Saccharomyces cerevisiae S288C: one gene and its partners. Changing the gene in region 1 together with any one later gene gives a genetic interaction. Each region holds a gene or a part of one and is shown in the gene's direction. Other genes may lie near its edges.

The links.
Region 2: mutations in VHT1 (region 1) and GID7 together harm fitness less than expected from each alone (positive genetic interaction), as found in Saccharomyces cerevisiae (one large-scale study listed by BioGRID).
Region 3: mutations in VHT1 (region 1) and PSG1 together harm fitness more than expected from each alone (negative genetic interaction), as found in Saccharomyces cerevisiae (one large-scale study listed by BioGRID).
Region 4: mutations in VHT1 (region 1) and EFM6 together harm fitness more than expected from each alone (negative genetic interaction), as found in Saccharomyces cerevisiae (one large-scale study listed by BioGRID).

The regions. Positions count from the first base shown.
Region 1 is NC_001139.9:616,360-622,780, reverse strand, and holds VHT1 (Vht1p), read left to right. Parts: upstream 1-2,922; coding exon 2,923-4,704; downstream 4,705-6,421. Other genes in the region: YGR067C (uncharacterized protein), read left to right, coding at 1-409; GID10 (Gid10p), read left to right, coding at 982-1,860; transcription elongation factor SPT4, read left to right, coding at 4,957-5,265; membrane insertase COX18, read left to right, coding at 5,503-6,421. UniProt on the Saccharomyces cerevisiae protein: Involved in uptake of biotin with the concomitant entry of protons.
Region 2 is NC_001135.5:49,856-56,384, forward strand, and holds GID7 (glucose-induced degradation complex subunit GID7), read left to right. Parts: upstream 1-2,789; coding exon 2,790-5,027; downstream 5,028-6,529. Other genes in the region: protein disulfide isomerase PDI1, read right to left, coding at 1-366; YCL042W (uncharacterized protein), read left to right, coding at 729-1,088; GLK1 (glucokinase), read left to right, coding at 983-2,485; ATG22 (Atg22p), read right to left, coding at 5,086-6,529.
Region 3 is NC_001143.9:288,651-294,155, forward strand, and holds PSG1 (Psg1p), read left to right. Parts: upstream 1-2,802; coding exon 2,803-3,981; downstream 3,982-5,505. Other genes in the region: DHR2 (RNA helicase), read left to right, coding at 195-2,402; AAN1 (Aan1p), read right to left, coding at 4,306-5,505. UniProt on the Saccharomyces cerevisiae protein: With EXP1, the specific cargo receptor protein for the plasma membrane ATPase PMA1, is involved in the transport and/or maturation of PMA1.
Region 4 is NC_001146.8:585,750-590,777, reverse strand, and holds EFM6 (putative protein-lysine N-methyltransferase), read left to right. Parts: upstream 1-2,930; coding exon 2,931-3,671; downstream 3,672-5,028. Other genes in the region: FAP1 (Fap1p), read left to right, coding at 1-2,515; KSH1 (Ksh1p), read left to right, coding at 3,958-4,176. UniProt on the Saccharomyces cerevisiae protein: S-adenosyl-L-methionine-dependent protein-lysine N-methyltransferase that methylates elongation factor 1-alpha (TEF1 and TEF2) at 'Lys-390'.

The DNA.
Region 1 (6,421 bases):
GACTGATATCTCTAATTGGTCTTGTTTTGCTCTTCAACAGCCGTTTCGCAAGACTTCAAGAGGTTCTTTATCTGGTGCTTCTGATATGAAATCGTTTTCAGTAGCATCATGTTTGCCACTCTCTCCTAATTTCCTAAAGAGAGATTCAAACTGTAATAAGATTCTCCTGCCCCCATTAGATATAAAAGCCATTGAACCTATCTCAACGAGTAATTACACCTACGTGAACTCGGCCCCTAAGCAACAAGAGAAGGAACAACCATTGTTAAGGGCAACAGGAAACAATATCAATTTAGTCCAAACAATAGTGGTCCCACCCCAGGTAAACATGGAATCACAAGAATTCTCAGCTTCTTCAACTGACAATAAACAAAGTAAAAACATTGAAATTTTTAGCCAAATAAAATAATGGCCAAAGAAATGTTGTTAACAACACTAATAACATTAAAGTTTAATACAACCACAAACGATATACATAAATCTACATAATAATTTTAATACTTCCCACAAGTTTGCCTAAAAGTAAATACCATTTTTTGTGTGCTTATTCCGCTGCGATGGTTACTACTACATGTAAGAGGTGCTCAGTAAAAGGAAGTACAAAACGTCTTTCGCGTTTACCTGTGCTCCATGCGCCTTAATCAATACTCTCAAGGCCTTCTTAACCTTGGCGTTTTCTTAAGTGTTCTGTTCACATTCGATAACAAAATTTAGAATGTCTTTTCACCCCTCTTTTTTCTGGTAATGGTTCGAATGTATGCGGTACCTTTTTTTAACAATAGTCTTCAGGGCACCCTTAAAAATGCTTCGATGAACCATTACAGAAAAAGAAAGTAGGGAAAAATGATGTAATTGTATATGTTGTTTAGTTTAATATTTGATAAAAACATATAAAAAGGGCAATCATGATGGCCATCGACGAGTTATCTTTATCCTTTCGTATTGTGTTATGAGACTTTTCATTTAAAATATACTGTAGGTATGACATCACTGAATATCATGGGAAGAAAGTTTATTCTAGAAAGGGCCAAAAGAAATGACAACATTGAAGAAATATATACTTCGGCCTATGTCTCTCTACCCTCCTCAACTGATACACGTTTGCCTCACTTCAAAGCAAAAGAAGAGGACTGTGATGTTTACGAGGAAGGGACCAATTTAGTGGGTAAGAATGCTAAATATACCTACAGATCCCTTGGTAGACATTTAGATTTTTTGAGGCCAGGATTGAGATTTGGCGGTTCGCAATCGTCAAAGTACACGTATTATACGGTGGAAGTGAAGATTGATACCGTAAACTTGCCACTTTACAAGGATTCGCGTTCTTTGGACCCGCATGTCACAGGTACTTTCACTATTAAAAATTTAACACCAGTCCTAGATAAAGTTGTTACCCTTTTTGAAGGGTATGTCATCAATTATAACCAATTCCCGTTATGTTCACTGCATTGGCCCGCTGAGGAGACGCTCGACCCTTATATGGCTCAGAGAGAAAGTGATTGCTCTCATTGGAAGAGGTTTGGTCATTTTGGTTCTGATAACTGGTCGTTAACGGAAAGAAATTTTGGTCAGTATAATCATGAAAGTGCAGAATTTATGAATCAACGATATATTTATCTTAAATGGAAGGAAAGGTTCCTACTTGATGATGAGGAACAAGAAAATCTGATGTTGGACGATAATCATCATCTGGAAGGCGCGTCATTTGAGGGATTTTACTATGTGTGTTTAGACCAGCTAACAGGTTCAGTGGAAGGCTACTACTATCATCCCGCTTGTGAATTGTTTCAAAAACTCGAACTCGTTCCAACCAACTGCGACGCATTGAACACCTACTCAAGTGGATTTGAAATTGCCTAAAGACCCTTATAGAATTACCAATGTATGTTTGTTTACTCGTCAACCATGTCTCTTTTAAAAGCACATTGTTCTTGATATTACATCAATAAGTAAACTAGTAACCCTTTACATATATCCACGTCATGTATGCCCTTTTTGTAGTTCGAAATAAAAACATTTCTATCATTAGTGCCGGTTAATAATTAGTTGGCGATATCCTTGCAATAAAATAAAAATACTTGAATTGATGATTCGTTTACAGAGGCTCAAGAACACTCAGGAAAACATTATTGCTTTAAATTGACATAGTGTTCTTATGGTAGAAGCTTTCTTAATCACCAGCAAAAAATATTTGGTAAGTAAAACGTTAGCGAGGATATGCTGCAACCATCATTGCTGAACAAGTTATTGGCAACCTACTTATGCGGAGGACTAATGATTACTCAACGTTCTTCTTGAGACGAATGATTACAACCTTACAACCAAGATATAAAAACTTTAGTTTAAGCCCAACTTTATTACAATATCCTTAGACGGCAGCTGGCTCGTGGGATTTTTTCAAGTGTTAGTCCGGTTCTGCAACTACTGCTGAATTCGGCTGCATTGAAAAGCTCAAATTAAAATCATCGTCAATTATTCTCATTACTTCAATCTTTGCTAGTACGCCTTTCACATGGCCTGTCGATCCTATGCTCCTACAACTAAAATGTCCTTTACTAACATGATTGCCTCCATTGCTACAATTGCGTCAGCTAAGATACTGCCGTAGTCTACTAGAAAATCATCATTAGTTCACCCGAAATGGCTCTGAGATTATGAATCACTTTAGGATGATTTACACAGAAAGCGCCGTACCGCCTCCGAGACTCTTTCACCCAACTGTGAAAGGAAAAAAAAATGTGTGAAATGAAAAAAAAAGTCGAAATATGAGATGCAAGGCTAAGTTTGATGATAGCCATTCCCAAAAATCTGCATGACTCTTACGGCTATAACATAACTATATATAAAGGCTCTACACCCACGAGCAATCGCCTTTTCATTTGTTTCAATTTTCAAAAAAGGACCGACACAAATCAATAGATAATGACAATTTCGAATAAATCGTGGAGGAGCTACTTCCCACATTTGAGAAAACTACCCGAAGATGATCAGTACTTATACTCAGACGATACTAACTCCAGTATCATAGCTGAAGAGGAGCTACATCATAGCGTAGATAAGTCCTCGAAGACAGACGTTACGGCAGAAACTACAGCTGTAGAACCTCATCCTCACAATTTAAGGCATGACTTGCCATATGAAGTGAGAGATGAAGCTGGGCGTAAATGGTGGAAATATTTTGATGAATTCGAGTATCGTGTTAATAAGGAATACAAGAAATCACGTAAGTGGTACGAGTTTTTGTATCCTAATCATACTACTCAAACCAAGGCTGAAAGACGGCTTCTTTACAAGCTAGACATTATTATTGCTTTATACTTTTTTATGTTATGTTGGTCCAAGTCAGTGGATTTGAATAACTACACTAACGCATATGTTTCCAATATGAAGGAAGATTTAAACATGAAAGGTAATGATTACGTTTACACTTCTACTATTGCTAATGTTGGTGCCATTGTCTTCCAATTACCATTTATGTATTTGTTACCAAGATTTCCCTCTCATATTATTTTGCCTGTAATGGACTTGGGCTGGACTTGGTTCACATTTGCATGTTATAGGGCAAACTCACTAGCCGAACTAAGGGCTTACAGATTTATTTTAAGTGCCTTTGGCGCTGCTTACTACCCAGTGTCCCAATATATACTAGGTTGTTGGTATGCCCCAGATGAAATTAATTCAAGAGTCTGTTTATTCTTTTGTGGGCAACAATTGGGTTCCGTGACTTCAGGACTTCTGCAAAGTCGCATATTCAAAAGTTTGAACGGCGTCCATGGTCTAGCAGGCTGGAGATGGATGTTTCTGATCGATGCCATTGCAATTTCTCTTCCCACGGCTATTATTGGTTTTTTTGTTATTCCCGGTGTACCATCTAAGTGTTACTCTTTATTTCTGACTGACGAAGAAATACGAATTGCAAGGGCCAGAAATAAGAGGAACCAAATCAAAGATGGTGTTGATAAAAGTAAGCTAGCCCCATTATGGAGCAGAAAACTTTGGAAGAAAGTATTTTGTACTCCAGCATTCTGGGTACTTGTTGTTTTTGATACATGTTCGTGGAATAACATGACTGCGTATAGTGGTTCATATACTTTGTGGTTAAAGTCTAATACAAAGTACTCCATTGCCCAAGTGAACAACCTGAGTGTTATACCCGCATGTTTAGGATTTGCGTATGTGATTTTTTGTGCCTTTGGTGCCGATTTATTTAGATGTAAGTGGATATTCATGGTTTTTGCTGCTATAATGAATACCGTTTCTTGTGCCTTACTTATCAAGTGGGATATTCCTTCGAAAGCTAAATGGTACGCTTTCTTCACCACGTATTTCAGTGTGGCCGCATCGCCTTGTCTATGGTCGTTTATTAATGACTTCTTAAGGTTTGATCCTCAGGTGAAGGCTATTACATGGATCGCCATTTATTCCTTCTCTCAATCCACTTACGCCTGGATTCCTACCTTGGCGTGGCCTACCGTGGAGTCACCACGTTTTAAGACTGGTTACACCGTGAGCTTAATTTTTGGTGCTATTTACGGTTTATGGACGTTTGTTGTACTTTTTTTTTACAAGAGAAACGAAAAGAAACATGCTCTAGGTAATGGTATCATCTTGTATGATAGTAATAAGGGTGAAGAGCTTCCAGAATTTGTAAAGAAAAATATGGAGGAAAGAGATGGTTACTACTATTTAAAGCGGTCCTCGTAGTCCAATTTACGTGAAGTAGATAGGTATATTACGCTTTAGACACCATACCTCAAATAAATATATTCATGTATATAATTTAATCATCTTCTATCTATAATTAATCTCGATGTTGATAAAGGTCACCTTATACGTTCTATGAGTGAAATCGAGTGAAAAAGTGAAATTTAAGAAAGGGCTCGAAGGATGTACTGTGTAATAATTACACCTGGCCACATTCAGTTTGGCAAAAGCGAACGAGGTACAGTGTAAGAGATGTCTAGTGAAAGAGCCTGTATGCTGTGTGGCATAGTGCAGACCACAAATGAGTTTAATAGAGATGGTTGTCCCAACTGTCAGGGTATTTTTGAAGAGGCAGGTGTTTCTACAATGGAATGTACGTCGCCTTCTTTCGAGGGCCTCGTAGGAATGTGTAAGCCTACTAAGTCGTGGGTAGCAAAGTGGCTGAGCGTAGATCATAGTATAGCTGGTATGTACGCCATCAAGGTCGATGGTAGACTACCAGCTGAGGTTGTGGAGCTGTTGCCTCACTACAAACCGAGGGATGGCAGTCAAGTTGAGTAAAACCTTCCGTTCTGATATCACATGTATAATAGTAATGAATTTTTTTTACTTTTTTTTTTTTTTAGTAAATATTCTAGCATATGAGTTTATGCTTTCATTTATTTAACGTTCTGCACTTTTGTTTTTGCTGGCAAACCCAATTTTTCTACCGTCCAGTAATTCAACTAAGGCTAAAAAGACTTTCATTAGAAAAAAAAGGTCCAAGGATAGGAAAATTTCAAGATAAAGTATGGCATTATGTTAAAGAGGTTAGCCAATCGTCAAAATGGTTTTGCGTCATTCTCGTGCAGCTCAGTCGGTCTGCGATATGGTAGGACTAATCCAAGTACAAAGAGAAGCTTTTCACTTTTTCAAAGTGTAGCGGACACGTTTTTAACAGTGCATGAAGCCTCACATATACCATGGATAGTGCTTGTTCCTTTGACTACTATGACCCTTAGAACCCTCGTGACGCTGCCATTCAGTATATGGCAGCGGAGGAGAATTTTGAAACAACAAGAACTGAGGAAATTAGTACAGCCAATAACGCCCATTATTAAACTTCGACTGGCAGCCGTTACTAATAAAAAGTCTAGAAATGCCGCCAGAATTAGCTCCAACGGTTCTTTCATGCCGTTACAACTACAGAATGCTGGCGTTTTGACACCAGAACAAATTACACTATTGGCAGTGAAAGAGACAAGAAAGAGGCAGAAAAAATTATTCAAGAAGTACAATGTACCCCTATGGAAAAATGCCTTACTGCCAATGGTGCAAATTCCTCTTTGGGTCACAGTCTCCATGGGCATCAGGACCCTAACAGAGACACAGCTTATAGAAAGTTTTTATCCTTCCTGGTTTTCCGCACTGGGTTTCAGTTCCTTTGATCTAAGCTCACCGCTAGTAGCAATGCCTCTACTAGCGCCCATTTTGGTGGGGACTCTGGCGGTATTAAACGTGGAACTCAATGGCCGACTGATGTTTAGCTCAAGTTTGTCATCGCAAGGTATAAAGACAATTTCAAGGAATTCGACAAGAGTCCAAGAGGCAATGACTAGTATACTGAACGTATCGAGACTCGGTTGTGTCGTTATGCTAGCAATGTCCTCACAGGCTCCATTCCTTCTTTCGCTCTATTGGATATCATCACAGCTATTCTCCCTGGTGCAAAATATCA
Region 2 (6,529 bases), on another chromosome or scaffold:
GTAATCGATCGAGTTGTTAACATCGCTGTTTTTGAAAATCTTCAAGCTTGGGAACCCTGGAATGTTGTGTTCCATACACAGATCCTGGTTTTCAGTACAGTCGATCTGGGCCAAGGTAATGTTTTTCTCAACTAAAGTCTCGGCGGCTTTAACGTATTCAGGAGCCATGTTCTTACAGTGGCCACACCATGGAGCAAAAAACTCCGCAAGCACCAAGTCGTGCGACTGAATGTACTCATTGAAGGAGTCGGTGGCCAACTTAACGACAGCGGAGTCTTCAGGGGCCACAGCCTCTTGTTGGGCGAAAACAGAGGAGGCGAGCAGCAGGGAGGACCATGACAGGACGGCACCAGCAGAAAACTTCATAACGGGATAGATGTATGTTTTTCTTTATGTAGAGCTTGGCAGCTTTAAAATTACCAATTAGACATGCTGCTTGCAACAAGAAAATGCACGCGTAACAAAATATATATATATATATATATATATATGTATGTCCATACGGGTTTTTCGTTTTGTTGTGGTTGTAACAGCACAACAAAATGCTACACGGTGGCAAATTGGAAAAAGAGACTAGTGAGAGAAAAGGGAAAAAGAGGCGCCGCCCGACAGGGTAACATATTATCACGTGCAGCCCAGGATAATTTTCAGGACACGTGTTTCGAAAGGTTTGTCGCTCCGAAAAAATCAAAAAAAACAAAAAACGGGAAATAACAATAACGACAAAAATGGAAAAAAAAAAAATTTTAGACGCGGCGCTTGCACCCCGCATTATAAGTGGTGTGCCGACGGACGGTCAACCCCTTTCAGGGGGCCCCCTATCTTGGGCGTGGTGTCACACCACGCTCAAACGGTGGGCACTAATGAAAACGCGCCCATATAAATATCCGCTATCAACAGAACCCCCAACCCCCCCATCAGTGCCCAACTCAGCTTCCGTAAACCACAACACCACCACTAATACAACTCTATCATACACAAGATGTCATTCGACGACTTACACAAAGCCACTGAGAGAGCGGTCATCCAGGCCGTGGACCAGATCTGCGACGATTTCGAGGTTACCCCCGAGAAGCTGGACGAATTAACTGCTTACTTCATCGAACAAATGGAAAAAGGTCTAGCTCCACCAAAGGAAGGCCACACATTGGCCTCGGACAAAGGTCTTCCTATGATTCCGGCGTTCGTCACCGGGTCACCCAACGGGACGGAGCGCGGTGTTTTACTAGCCGCCGACCTGGGTGGTACCAATTTCCGTATATGTTCTGTTAACTTGCATGGAGATCATACTTTCTCCATGGAGCAAATGAAGTCCAAGATTCCCGATGATTTGCTAGACGATGAGAACGTCACATCTGACGACCTGTTTGGGTTTCTAGCACGTCGTACACTGGCCTTTATGAAGAAGTATCACCCGGACGAGTTGGCCAAGGGTAAAGACGCCAAGCCCATGAAACTGGGGTTCACTTTCTCATACCCTGTAGACCAGACCTCTCTAAACTCCGGGACATTGATCCGTTGGACCAAGGGTTTCCGCATCGCGGACACCGTCGGAAAGGATGTCGTGCAATTGTACCAGGAGCAATTAAGCGCTCAGGGTATGCCTATGATCAAGGTTGTTGCATTAACCAACGACACCGTCGGAACGTACCTATCGCATTGCTACACGTCCGATAACACGGACTCAATGACGTCCGGAGAAATCTCGGAGCCGGTCATCGGATGTATTTTCGGTACCGGTACCAATGGGTGCTATATGGAGGAGATCAACAAGATCACGAAGTTGCCACAGGAGTTGCGTGACAAGTTGATAAAGGAGGGTAAGACACACATGATCATCAATGTCGAATGGGGGTCCTTCGATAATGAGCTCAAGCACTTGCCTACTACTAAGTATGACGTCGTAATTGACCAGAAACTGTCAACGAACCCGGGATTTCACTTGTTTGAAAAACGTGTCTCAGGGATGTTCTTGGGTGAGGTGTTGCGTAACATTTTAGTGGACTTGCACTCGCAAGGCTTGCTTTTGCAACAGTACAGGTCCAAGGAACAACTTCCTCGCCACTTGACTACACCTTTCCAGTTGTCATCCGAAGTGCTGTCGCATATTGAAATTGACGACTCGACAGGTCTACGTGAAACAGAGTTGTCATTATTACAGAGTCTCAGACTGCCCACCACTCCAACAGAGCGTGTTCAAATTCAAAAATTGGTGCGCGCGATTTCTAGGAGATCTGCGTATTTAGCCGCCGTGCCGCTTGCCGCGATATTGATCAAGACAAATGCTTTGAACAAGAGATATCATGGTGAAGTCGAGATCGGTTGTGATGGTTCCGTTGTGGAATACTACCCCGGTTTCAGATCTATGCTGAGACACGCCTTAGCCTTGTCACCCTTGGGTGCCGAGGGTGAGAGGAAGGTGCACTTGAAGATTGCCAAGGATGGTTCCGGAGTGGGTGCCGCCTTGTGTGCGCTTGTAGCATGATCTTTTTACATTTTTTTGGTTTGTGTACGTATCCCACCGTACTTACCATCTTCTCTCCTTTATATATATATATATATATGTATATTTTCAGTGTATATACATACATTCTTATACAATACCGTATAAGAACGTATGTATGTATGTATGATTTTCTCACATTAATGAACAATATCATCGGAAACGGGCCTTTGGTTTTTAAGGGAAAATGAAGAACAATAAATGCCTTGCTAGGTCTTCCTTTATCATTTTTGGAAGTCAAATATGAAAAACACTTCCAAGGGGGCGTACTACTTCAACTAATAAAATGTCACACACTAATAAGATCGCATACGTGTTGAACAATGACACGGAGGAAACAGCCTCGCCCTCTTCCGTTGGTTGTTTTGACAAGAAACAGCTCACTAAATTACTGATACATACTCTAAAGGAGCTGGGCTACGACTCCGCCGCTAACCAGTTACTGCTAGAGAGCGGCGGATATCAAAATGAGTCTAACCACATCCAGACTTTCTTCAAACTCATCAAGACCGGCCAATTCCATCTTATTAATTGGCAGATTGTTTGCTCGCTGCCCCTTGCCCATAGCTCTCCGCTAAGGTCCGAATGGCTTCAAAGGCTGCTCATTCCCACGCCGACGCCCGCCACGACTTCACTTTTCGACCACATGCTCCTGCAACTGCAATACCTGCAACAGCTGATGAGCTCTGTAAATTCATCTACTTGTTCGGACGCAGAGATCGCCACGCTCAGAAATTACGTAGAGATCATGATTCTAGTTAATAGACAAATATTCCTCGAATTCTTCCATCCAGTCACAAATTCCGCCTCTCACAAGGGCCCTCACACTGCACTGCCCGTCCTGTATTTGCGCAAAATCCTCAAAAACTTCATCGAGATATGGGATTCCCTGCTGGTGTCTAACGATCAGTTCCTAAATGAAGAAAACATCTTCAATCCGGAAACGACCTTGAGAGAACTGTCGACGTACCTGACCAACCCAAAACTAACCGCGCAGTTGAACCTCGAGCGAGACCATCTGATTGACGCCATCTCCAAATATATCGATCCGAACGAACTCGTTCCCAAGGGTCGTCTCTTGCATCTCTTGAAACAGGCCATCAAGTATCAACAATCACAAGACATTTTTAATATCATCGATCCGGATGATGACGCCTCTTTCTCCTCTCCACCCCACCGGATCAACCTTTTGCAGGATAACTTCTCACACGATCTGACTGTGACCTTTCAAGAATGGAAGACTATCCAAGACACCACAGACGAAATTTGGTTTTTGACATTTTCGCCCAATGGCAAGTATTTGGCTTCTGCGACTTCCGAGTCTTCAAGAGGCTACTTCATTACTGTTTATGATGTGGAACAAGACTTCAAAATTTATAAGACTTGCGTGAGCTTGTCACAATCCGTATTGTACCTCATGTTTTCTCCTGATAGCCGGTATCTGGTTGCTTGCCCTTTCAGCGAAGATGTTACCATTTACGACATGAATGCCACCTCCCTGCCCGATGCGTCTGCCACAGACTCGTTCCTACTATACCCTTCTACCAGGCTCTCGCCCATGGACTCGTTTAAACTGGACACCACCACGTACCCAGATGATACCGAATCATCAGCATCATCTTCCTCGAGGCCGGCAAACGCGAATTCTAATCAATCAAGAGTATGGTGCTGCGATGCCTTCCACACTGCGGAACGTGCGGGCTGGATGGTGGTTGGATCGCCCGACAGAGAAGCTATTGTACACTCACTCACCACGAAAGAGTCACTTTTTAGCTTAAAAGGCAGGACTTGTATCGCGTTGGGCCACGATGAAAACATCTCTGGGAGAAAATCAATCGATCCTGCAAAAGTCCTTTACAAACCAACAAGTAGCAATGGTAACTGGCAATATGTGGAGGACGACGAAACCTTTCCACGTGTGCACGACGTGAAAATCAGCTATGACGATAAATACGTGCTTTTAATGACCCACCAGGGCGTTATAGATGTCTACGATTTCAGTGGGTTCCCCTCCAAAGAGGAGCTATCTAAGCAAACAGTGGATCCCAAAAACTTTCTGATTCCAAGGATCGCAAGATTGGACGTGGGCAAAAACATGACTTGTATCTCATTACCGCTAAATACCACGCATCAAGGCTTCCATAGGCAACAAATATCCGAGTCTCAACATTTGGTATTAGTTAGCCTTCAAGATAACGAATTACAAATGTGGGACTATAAAGAAAATATTCTCATACAAAAGTACTTTGGACAGAAGCAACAGCACTTTATTATCAGATCTTGCTTCGCCTACGGTAATAAGCTTGTCATGAGCGGATCAGAAGATGGTAAAATTTACATTTGGGATAGAATTAGAGGTAACCTAGTATCTGTTTTATCCGGTCATTCCACGGTAATGAGTAATTCCACAAAACCCATGGGGAAAAATTGTAACGTAGTTGCATCAAACCCTGCAGATAAAGAAATGTTTGCTTCTGGCGGTGATGACGGTAAGATAAAAATCTGGAAAATTTCAAGAAATTAATACTCCACCTTATATATATACGTAAGCAAAGTTTTATGTAACAAAAAAAAAAAAAGAACTAATCCAACCTTCTTTCACTTTCAGGTAAAACTTGACTGAGTTCTTCAGCCTCTCTTCTACCTCTCTTGACATCCAAACAGTTTAGCACAGGCAATGATAGCATCAAAAGCAAAAAGAAGAAATAAAACGAATAGCGAATATTATGCGTTTTATCGGTAAGCAGTCCAACAAGGAAGGGTCCCAGGATGGACGACCCCTTATCTGTGATACTGAACATACTAAAAAACGTGGATTCTTTTCCTGGAGGTACAATCAAACTGAAAACTGATCTTGAAACCGCGGACAGGCCACCTAGTGATAATCCATACCAAATGGCCAATAAGAACATTTCAAACTTATGCTTTAAACCGAACGCATTGAAGAAAAATCCAAGAATACCATAAAATGGTATGAAACTTGCCCAAATGATAATGTACATCAAAGTTTGACTAGAAGTCCACCGAAACTTTGTGGCAAGAAATTGTGGAATCATAAAGGCACCCAGCATTGCATTTACAACGGTCAAAACACTTATCATGATTAAATTGAGGGTACTCATGTGCAGTTCTGCCTTGGAGAACAAAACCGCTGTAGAATTTATAGTTGTAATGGAATCACTAATAATAAACCACGCAATAAGAAAAATCATCACATCTTTCAATAGTCTGGCATGTTTAAACGATTCGAAAAGCGAAACCCAACCATATGAAAGGTAATTCTTCCAGTTTAGTTGACCCAAGGCGTCTTGCTCACCGGGATACGGACTGCGGGCGGATGCTAATGTAGAATCGTCAACTCTTATCGGTATTGTCACATCGTCAATCAACCAGATCATGGGCAGTTGCCACACAAACCACCAAATCCCAACGAAAAGAACAGCCACTTGAACATCCTGCTTACTGCCCTTTTTAGATGCGACTAAGAACATAGATACAATCTGAACAATGAGGGCACTTGAATAACCTAAAGATGCACCTCTACCGCTAATAACAGTAGTTAACGAGTCTACCTTATCAGGTTCATAAGCTCCTTGACTTTGACATTTCAAAGAATCCTTGACAAAAATGGGCAGAAGAGAATTCCCAACAACATTGATAACGCCAAAACAACCATTGGCCACTATATAAAGCCCAGCCAGAGAATAAATCTGGGTATCATTCAATTTTGAAATCGCAACAGTCGACAATGCGCCCACAATACCAAACCAAACCAGAATTCTGCCTTTGAATTTAACGCTCCCCCAGAGATCTACTATCCCTGAAACGGAAATGACTATTATAGTTTGGAATAAAACGCTAAGGGAAAAGACATATAATGCAAAACTTGAAGTATCTACGAAGATCCGATTGTTGAACAAACCAAGAACACACTTATCTGAATCACTACCCGTTTCTGACAGGCAGGGTATGGAGTGATCGTGAACTTTTACACCATTTATACTCGCAAATTGCTGCAGTAGTAAG
Region 3 (5,505 bases), on another chromosome or scaffold:
ATTTGTACGTATAATGCTGACTGAAAGATGTACTTTTCTTCTACCGTTTTTCTTCGGCGGCTATTCGTTTACAATGATTTGGAAAAATGAGAAAAATTGAAAATAAAAAATTCTGCTCGATGAGATGAGATGAGGTTATGATATATATGTAAGAATTCCTCAAGAAGAGGTTGCAAGAGTCTGCAGACATTATCATGGCAGCAAATAGCAATAGTAGAGTTGCATCAAACCATACTTCTAAAAAACAAAAGGTTAGGAGGAATATACATCCATTCACGAATAACACTCGGATTAAAAGAGCTAGTAAAATCGTAAAGTTTAATGATTCAGGCGAGGGCGACCATGTTTCAGACCAACGTTCGAACAAGGAAAATGTCCTTACTTATAAATCTTTGAAAAGTCGGGCAAGCGATTTACTCAAAATGAGAGAAACACTTCCCGTTTACCAACACAAGCGAGAAATAATGTCATATATTGAAAGCAATCCCGTTACCGTCCTTATTGGTGAAACAGGTTCTGGTAAATCAACACAAATTCCGCAATTCGTATTAGAAAAATTATATGATACGAAGAAGCATGGGTCGATTGCTGTAACTCAACCCCGTCGTGTTGCGGCCATCAATTTGGCTACACGTGTTGCTCAAGAACATGGTTGCAAACTGGGTGAACAAGTAGGTTATTCTGTCAGATTTGACAATACGACTACTACAAGAACAAGACTTAAGTATCTGACTGACGGTATGTTACTTAGAGAACTTATGATGAATAGTGACCTTAGAGAATACAGCGTCATCGTTATCGATGAAGCGCATGAAAGAACTGTGCTTACAGATTTGATATTGGGGTTCTTAAAATCCTTGATACAAGGGCCAAGACCTGATTTGAGAATAATTGTTATGTCTGCAACATTGCAAGCCGAAAAATTTAGTGAGTTCTTCAATAATGCCCCAATCTTATTTGTAGAAGGAAGAAAATTTGATGTCAAACAATACTACTTGAAGGCGCCAACAGATGATATAGTAGACGCTGTCATCAGGTGTTGTATACAAATAAACCAAGGTGAAGAACTGGGAGATATCTTATGTTTTTTACCGGGCCAAGAAGAGATTGACAAAGCAGTGACTATAATGGAGAAAATTGCAAAGTATGTTTCAGATGAGGCCCCAGTACCATTAATAGTTCCTTATCCTTTATATGCAGCTCTTCCCGCGGTCCAACAGTCCTTGGTCTTCGCTCCGATAAAGGGTTTCAAGAGAAAAGTCGTCTTTAGTACCAATATTGCAGAAACATCTGTTACCATATCCGGTGTTAAATTTGTCGTTGATTCTGGTCTTCGAAAAGTCAAAGTTTGGAGACATCAGCTGGGATTAGCCACTCTACTTACCGTACCCATTTCTCAGGCAAGTGCGATGCAGAGAAGTGGTCGTGCTGGTAGAGAAAGTGAAGGAAAGAGTTTCAGGCTTTATTGTGAGTCTGATTATGTGAAATTACCTAAACAAAGTGAACCTGAAATAGCCAGAAGTGACGTCACATCTCCTGTGTTAATGTTGAAGAGATATGGTGTTGATGACCTGCTAAACTGGACCTGGTTTGAGAACCCTGGAAAGGAAGCTATAGTAATGGGGCTTCAGGAACTTTATGAATTGGGTGCTCTTGACACTCGTGGAAAGATAACTAAACGGGGTCAACAAATGGCTCTGTTACCGCTACAACCGCATTTAAGTAGTGTCTTAATTAAAGCCAGTGAAGTCGGATGTTTGAGTCAGGTCATTGATATCGTCTCTTGCCTTAGTGTGGAAAATTTACTGTTGAATCCGTCACCAGAAGAAAGAGATGAGGTGAACGAGCGTCGTTTGTCCTTATGCAACGCTGGTAAAAGGTATGGTGACCTTATCATGCTGAAAGAGCTTTTTGATATCTATTTCTACGAACTAGGGAAAAGTCAAGATGCAAGCTCTGAAAGAAATGATTGGTGTAAAGGATTGTGTATTTCGATACGTGGGTTTAAAAATGTAATTCGTGTCAGAGACCAGTTAAGAGTTTATTGTAAGCGTTTGTTTTCTTCAATCAGTGAAGAGGATGAAGAATCCAAAAAGATTGGTGAAGATGGCGAGCTAATTTCGAAAATTTTAAAGTGTTTCTTAACTGGGTTTATCAAGAATACAGCTATAGGGATGCCAGACAGGTCTTATAGAACTGTTTCCACTGGAGAGCCGATAAGCATTCATCCATCATCTATGCTATTTATGAATAAAAGCTGCCCCGGTATAATGTACACGGAGTATGTCTTTACTACGAAGGGATATGCCAGAAATGTTAGTAGGATTGAACTTTCATGGTTACAAGAAGTTGTCACTAATGCAGCCGCTGTAGCAAAGCAAAAAGTTTCTGATTCAAAATAAGTCACCTACTCTTAGCGCATTTTTATTGTATATAAAGGCATTTAATGTAATTTATAGAGCATTATAAATCGTAACAACTACTGCAGTATGAGTTTCATGGATTCATTTCTCAATATCTTATGAATATACACAGGTATATATGTATATTCATGTTAAACGCCTTTCGAATTGTTCGTTGGCTTTTTTTGTGAAATTATCTCGGGAAAAGGGCGAAATTATATTATTTTGCCGTTGACATTTTGAAAAGGAATAAAAGATCATGAAAAAAATAAGAAAGGCAATTCGACGCATTTCTCTCAGCAAGCTATTCTTTACTTTTGAAGAACAAAATATTTTAGCAAAAAGGTTAAGACAATATAGTCGGAAGCAGTTCTGCGGGATCTGAAGGAATTGCGGAATAATGAGATTTCACGATAGTATACTTATCTTCTTTTCTTTGGCATCGCTTTATCAACATGTTCATGGTGCAAGACAAGTCGTTCGTCCAAAGGAGAAAATGACTACTTCAGAAGAAGTTAAACCTTGGTTACGTACGGTTTATGGAAGTCAAAAAGAATTAGTCACTCCTACGGTCATTGCCGGTGTCACTTTTTCTGAAAAACCAGAAGAAACACCAAATCCATTGAAACCTTGGGTATCTTTAGAGCATGATGGTAGGCCAAAAACCATTAAACCAGAAATCAACAAAGGTCGAACCAAGAAGGGAAGACCTGATTACTCAACTTACTTCAAAACGGTAAGTTCCCACACATATTCTTATGAAGAATTGAAGGCTCACAATATGGGCCCTAATGAAGTTTTTGTAGAAGAAGAGTATATTGATGAAGATGACACCTACGTCTCCCTGAATCCTATTGTCAGATGTACTCCTAATCTTTACTTCAATAAAGGTCTAGCAAAGGATATCCGCAGTGAGCCATTTTGTACCCCTTATGAGAATTCTAGATGGAAGGTTGACAAGACTTACTTCGTTACTTGGTATACAAGATTTTTTACAGATGAGAATTCCGGTAAAGTTGCTGATAAGGTTCGTGTTCATTTGTCCTATGTTAAAGAAAACCCCGTAGAGAAGGGCAATTATAAAAGAGATATCCCTGCAACTTTTTTCTCTTCCGAATGGATTGATAATGACAACGGTCTAATGCCGGTTGAGGTCAGAGATGAATGGCTGCAGGACCAATTTGATCGTAGGATCGTTGTATCAGTTCAGCCAATATACATATCAGATGAAGATTTCGATCCACTACAATACGGTATTTTATTATACATCACTAAGGGTTCAAAAGTGTTTAAGCCTACTAAGGAGCAACTGGCTTTAGACGATGCAGGTATAACAAATGATCAGTGGTATTATGTTGCATTATCTATCCCTACTGTCGTGGTGGTATTTTTCGTCTTCATGTACTTTTTCTTATATGTCAACGGGAAAAACAGAGATTTCACAGATGTTACTAGAAAAGCTTTAAACAAGAAACGCCGTGTTTTGGGTAAGTTCTCGGAGATGAAGAAATTCAAAAACATGAAAAATCACAAGTACACCGAATTGCCATCTTATAAGAAAACCAGTAAACAAAATTAGATTCCCTTCGAAGTATGCATTCACCCTTCCTCGAGAGGGCTGTTTTTATCTTCCGTCACACTAATAGAAAACCACTCTATCCAGTTTTTTTTGTTACTTAACTTATCTTAACTCGATATTGTATAAATACTGAAGTCCATATACTTCTTTTTTTCTCCTTTGGATAGTAAATACGGTAAATTAAAATTAGTGTAAACTGAACAATATTAACATATATAAATCATCTGTACGACAATTTGATACCAAATAAATAGAGAATGCATCAGCATCCTCCAGGGTTCAAAAGAAAACGCTGGATCTTGCTTCTTTTCCTTTGATTTCTCCTTATATCCATTTCTGTCTTGCAGCAACTTCACATATTTTTTCCAGTGTAATGACCCTTGGATCAGGCTTAAAATGACGCTCAACCACATTATCATCTCCTTCCACATTCCTGCTAAGTAAGCTTTCTTCGTCGCCCTCGCTATTGTCCACATTATCTTCATCTTCATCATCATCTCCGCCGACGTCTTCAATGTAGTAGAAAAAGGGTTCCAACACCAACATAATTTTCCAGAAGTTGTTCGTGCCACAATTAGCAAACAAGACATCTACAAGGGCAGGTAGGTATTCCAATTCAATGTACTCCTCTGCGCAACAAACAAATTCATCTAATTCGTAATCTTGCTCATCAGCAGATAATGTAGAATACATTTCTGATAACAACGTTAATTCTTTGCTAATTGTTTTTGGAATATCTTCTCGAGCTTGCCATAACAGCTTTTGCGCTCTTTCCAGTCTTTCTTGGCTAACGGCATCATCCTTGCTCTCTTTTTCGCCTTTATCACCTTGGACATTTTCGGAGTCTTGTAGAGAAGGCAAGAATCCGTTCTTTTCGCTTTTGACCATAAGCTCATTGTATTCGTTATAGAGGGAGATAATTTTCATCATAGGCTTGTATAATTGCTGACAGACTTTCATTTCCGAGTAAGGTACAATGACTTTTTCCAAATAGTGATTGATCAGTCCTTCCATGAAGTTTGCCCAAATTGACGAAAATACATAATCCTCGTCGTAAGTCGATTCCGTAAAATCTTGGTTGATGTTATGCTGTATGATTTGCTCTGTAAGAGTTGGGAAAAGGTTTTTATGGCTTTTGACCATTTCATCTCTCAAAGCAGTAGATCCAGCGCTATCTGCTCCTTTAGTAGAATTTTCCAAACTATTATCTGTTGAAGACGCCTCTGAGTTCTTTTCACCATCTGTCTTATCTAGCCAGTATTCCGGACCACCCTTTTCAGACAATGTCACCAATAAAAGGAAGAGTTTTACTTTAACCCACGGGTTTAGCGAGTTTACATAGGCGTCCGTAATTTTGCTAACATCGATATTTATTTTTCTATGGATGCATTTGATAAATTTTTCAATGTAATGTGATTTTTTCAATCCGTATTTTTCATTCAGATATCCAACCGAAGTGATTACGTCGTAATTTGTATTTTCCATGTTCGTATGCTTCAAAAAGTTGAATGTTAACTTTCGTCT
Region 4 (5,028 bases), on another chromosome or scaffold:
TCGGCCCACATGTTGGTGCGGTAAAGTTGTTAATCCTGATCCGAATCCGCTGGATCCTAACTCATGTGGACAAACCTGCAATGCTTCTACTTGTATGCATGGTTGTTCCAAAATTTGTCATCTAGGGCCGCATCCAGAGTGTACTAGAATGGTCGAGATTATGTGCCACTGTGGTAAGCATTCGAAAAGTATCTTTTGTTACCAGTCTAAAGTTATGAAAAAAAACTTCAACTGTCAAGAAGTATGTGGATTGCCTTTATCTTGCTCCATCCACACCTGTAAAAAGAAATGCCACCCTGGCTTATGTGGGCCATGTCCAGAAATGATAATTAGTAAAGATAGTCCGAAAAAGCAAATAAAATGCTACTGTGGTAACCACACTCGTGCTAACATAAAGTGTAGTGAAACAAAGTTTCCCAAGTCCGGTAAGTCGTCGAAGGATGAAAATGGGAACAGGTGGATAGGCGTGTTTGCCTGTGCAGATAATAGAGTTGTCGACTACTCATGTCGCAAGCATTCATTCATAGAATCTTGCATAAGCCCACCCACAATTAATGGAGAAAAGGCATGCCCATTTTTGCCTAGCTCTTTGAAAACTTGTCCCTGTGGCCGGACAGCCCTAGAGGAACTGACTAAGCCTCGTAAGCATTGTGATGATCCGATACCAACCTGCGACTCAAGATGCGGTAAACCACTAAAATGTGGCAAACATTCGTGCCCCTTCACTTGTCATGATAAAGCCTGTATGGAACCCTGCTTGCAAATTGATAGTGTAAAATGTGCTTGTGAGCAAAGTACATTTTCAGTTCCATGTGGATTTCAAGGAAGGCCTCGCTGCAATATTAAATGCGAATCCCTGATGTCATGCCGTAGACATAGATGCACCGATAGGTGCTGCAGTGGTAGGCCATCGGCGATAAGAAGGAAGAAAAACTTGTTCAGAACGCAAGATTTGTTGGATGAGTCTCTTGTGGAAGCAAAACATATCTGCCTAAAACCGTGTAACTTGACCCTATCATGTGGAATTCATAAATGTCAGAGAAAATGTCACCCAGGAAAGTGTCCGCCCTGTTTAGAGAGTGATTCGAACGATCTGGTCTGCCCATGTGGCAATACAGTTGTTCCTGCACCCGTGCGTTGTGGCACGAAGCTACCTACATGTAATCATCCATGTATTAAAGTTGTGCGTGGCGAATCTACGTGTGGTCATAAACCAATGCCACATACCTGTCATTCCTTGGATGTGTCGTGCCCGCCATGTACGGAAACCGTATTTAAACCTTGTAAATGTGGGAAGAAAACTAAAGTGAGAACGGTTTGTTTTCAAACAGACGTATCATGTGGAATAAAATGTGGGATACCACTCTCTTACTGTTATCATACCTGCCAAAAAACATGTCATTTACCAGGAAATTGCCAAAAGGTGTGTAAACAGACCTGTGGGCAAAAAAGGCTCAATTGTAATCATGAATGTCCTAAACCGTGCCATGGTAAGACAGAGTGTCCCGATTTACCTTGTGCCACGCTAGTGAAAATTTATTGTAAATGTGGAAGGATCAAAAAAAGTGTTACTTGTGGCGCAAAAAGTGATAGAGTAAGTGTAACTGAATCTTCCGTGCTGGATTGCAATGAAGAATGTGAAGCTTTGAAACGACTAAAGGAATTGAAGGAGGCATTTGGAATTAAGGAAGAAACCAATAATTTTACAAGTAATGAACTAGATGCGTTAAAAAAACTGGTCTCTGTTGCTACAACATTTGAAGAACTGCAGTTACCGTTTACAGAGGCAGCATTATCAGTATATTCAAAGCAAGAAAGATGGTGTTCACAAATTGAAGCTATTCTTAATAAATTAATGGACGATAAAACACGTTCAAGCTTGCATTTCAAACCTATGAGGCCTCCTCAACGCCACTTCATCCGTGAACTAGCCAAAGCTTACGGCCTATATTCCGAGTCTCAGGACAGAGAGCCCATGAGATCTGTATTTATTAAGAAAGAAGATAATGGCGCAAGCAATAAACCAGTCTTATCATTAGCAGAAGCTTACCCACTATATGAATCATTTAAACAATTGCAGAAGGAAAGGAAAGCACAAGAATTTCAAGCTCGCACCACAGCTAAACTAATCAACTTCGAGGTTCAAGATACGGAACCTAAAGTAGAGGTGGCTAAGAAAAATGGTTTTTTGGTTCAAAATTTGGTTGCTGGAAATACTGCCGAAGATCTAAGGAGATTTTTTGAACCACATCTCAAGCATACGTTAGTAGTGAATCCTCAATACCTAATCCTTGATGATGGCAAAACAGCACTAGTGTATCCTGAAAATTACGAAACAGCATCCGTGAATACCGAACGTGACATGGAGCTTTTGGTTGGACACTTCGATTTTATGGCCAAAGAGGCATTTTTGGCCGATTCCATTTCGTTGTGTTCAACTGAAGAAGAACTTGAAAGAAGGTTGGATACGCCCGTAATTCAAGAGGATAGTCCTGTAATGGATAATAATACATGAACTATAATAGCGTGTCATTATTTATTACGCGGAATTCTAATTAAATAGAAATATCTAACTTTTATTTTTTTTCATCCTATCTCATTTCTTGTTTCTCCCTGTCGTTGCTAAAATACGAGGATCTGCATATGTTTACATATCAACGTTCCCGTAAACGAATGGAGAATACTGAGTGTCACGTTAATAATACGGATATTATAATTTGGAAACCTAGTCAAGTAAAACCAGAAGAGATTTTTCTTTTCTCTTAAGCTTTTTTGGCTTGACCAAACGAAAAGTCCCTCACACCCAAACACTGAAAGTAATTCTTCGTATTTAAATAATTCAAAAGTTATGATGAGCAGGCTCTATGTAAAAAAATGGCCCATAATTTTCCCTAGAACGTTATAAAAACGCGACTAGTGAGGTATTGAGTATGGAGAGTATATTTGGTGGGTTTGGAGATCTAGTTGTTCCTAGGCCAAAGGAGCATCTCGGTCAAACAGACCTTTCCTTCGGTGGAAAATTATTGCCTGCATTGAAAATTTGTGAAGATGGCGGTGAAAGTGGTTGTGGCGGTAAAGTCTGGATCGCTGGCGAACTGTTGTGCGAGTACATACTCGAGAAATCAGTTGACCATCTGCTAAGTAAGACGGTCAATGGTACGAAACAATTTAAAAAAGTCTTAGAATTGGGTAGTGGTACAGGTTTAGTTGGATTGTGCGTGGGGTTGTTGGAAAAAAACACATTCCACGATGGCACTAAAGTATATGTTACGGACATTGACAAGTTGATACCACTATTGAAAAGAAATATAGAACTGGACGAAGTTCAGTATGAAGTTCTTGCGAGGGAACTTTGGTGGGGTGAGCCGCTGTCGGCAGATTTCTCACCTCAAGAAGGTGCTATGCAAGCAAATAACGTTGATCTAGTTTTGGCAGCTGATTGTGTGTATCTCGAGGAAGCTTTTCCATTACTAGAAAAAACACTACTTGATCTCACTCACTGCATAAACCCACCTGTAATCTTGATGGCTTACAAGAAGAGAAGAAAAGCTGATAAACATTTTTTCAACAAGATTAAAAGAAATTTTGACGTTCTTGAAATTACAGATTTTAGTAAATTTGAACATTATCTTAAGGAAAGAACCCACTTGTTTCAGCTTATCAGGAAGTAACCTGACACAGTGAATTTATCTCTTAATGATCCTGATCTTATTATATTTAGTAATGAACTTTTCGATAGACATTTGTAATTCATGAAAAAACGATATAACATTCATTTTTGTAGTGTGGTGTACGCATGGTGGGACTGCTCTTCTTGAGCGAAATTTTGATCTTCAATAGAGTGAGCAACGACAACTCAAGGATAAAGACAGAACAGCGGTAAACATCGTTTGCAAAATAACTAGAGAGCCGGATCGATTTACTTTGCAAAGTTGCGTCCTTTTTCCACGACAGAATATGTCTGCATTATTTAATTTTCGTTCTCTTCTGCAAGTGATATTGTTACTGATTTGTTCATGTTCTTATGTTCATGGGCAGTGGCCGTCTCTCCTAGATCGTTACAAAAATCATGAGGTTTTGGGGGCCTTCTGGAAAATGGCACGTGTTGGTGAAAGGGCCAGTCCATATGTTAGTTTAGCATGTATTTTGATGGCCATCAGTCAATTTAACAGCTGATTGGAAGATACTTAGTCATATGGATTTAAAGTTACGCAAATCAAGGTCATAGAAGGTGCAGTACCTTTTAAAACAAAGAGTATAAGTGGATTCAGACGAAGTGTCTCTTTAATTCTATCGTCTGATAGCGTACAAGTAAGGGTGCTATGAGCTAGCACGCACAGCAAAAATATAAACACTTTTGTATTTTTTTTTATTTTATAGTGTTTTGTGTTGAGTATTCATCTATTCGACCTCTATAGAGATTTAAGAAGGGAATTCATTGTCACAATAAGGACGCATAGTTGTTCATTTTAGACATCATTTACAGCACTTCCGTAAACTACCCCATATTGCGATTGAATACTACCGAAAAGGCTCAAGAATTTACGTGGTGCCCAATCAATTATATAGAATGAGGAACAATGGTAAGTAATGAATAATCATGGTCAGTAATAAAAAAGCAATCTCGTCCATGTTTCTTTTTGAAACTCAGAGCTTGACTCTGTTGCATTGGTATTTCATCATTTGATGAATTATTCACTATTCCATCTTCTTCTTACACAAGTTTACCAATAAATAACTCATCTGAGTTATTCAGACTTTTTATTAGATCAGTTCGGCATATTTAACTATGCAAAAGTTTTACACTGCTAAAAAGTAGTGTAAACAACAAACTGTTAAAAAAATAAAAAGGGGTGAATCCATGGACCAAGAATAGTAAGCTCCATTGGGTTACTCGATCCAGCACGGGAAAGAGCAATCGTCATAACTATGGTTTAGATTCCATACAAACGGAATCCAGTACCGAAGAAAACACCAGTACCCTGCAATAGAGGTACCAGGTCAAGAAGCAGAATACCCAAGGGCATC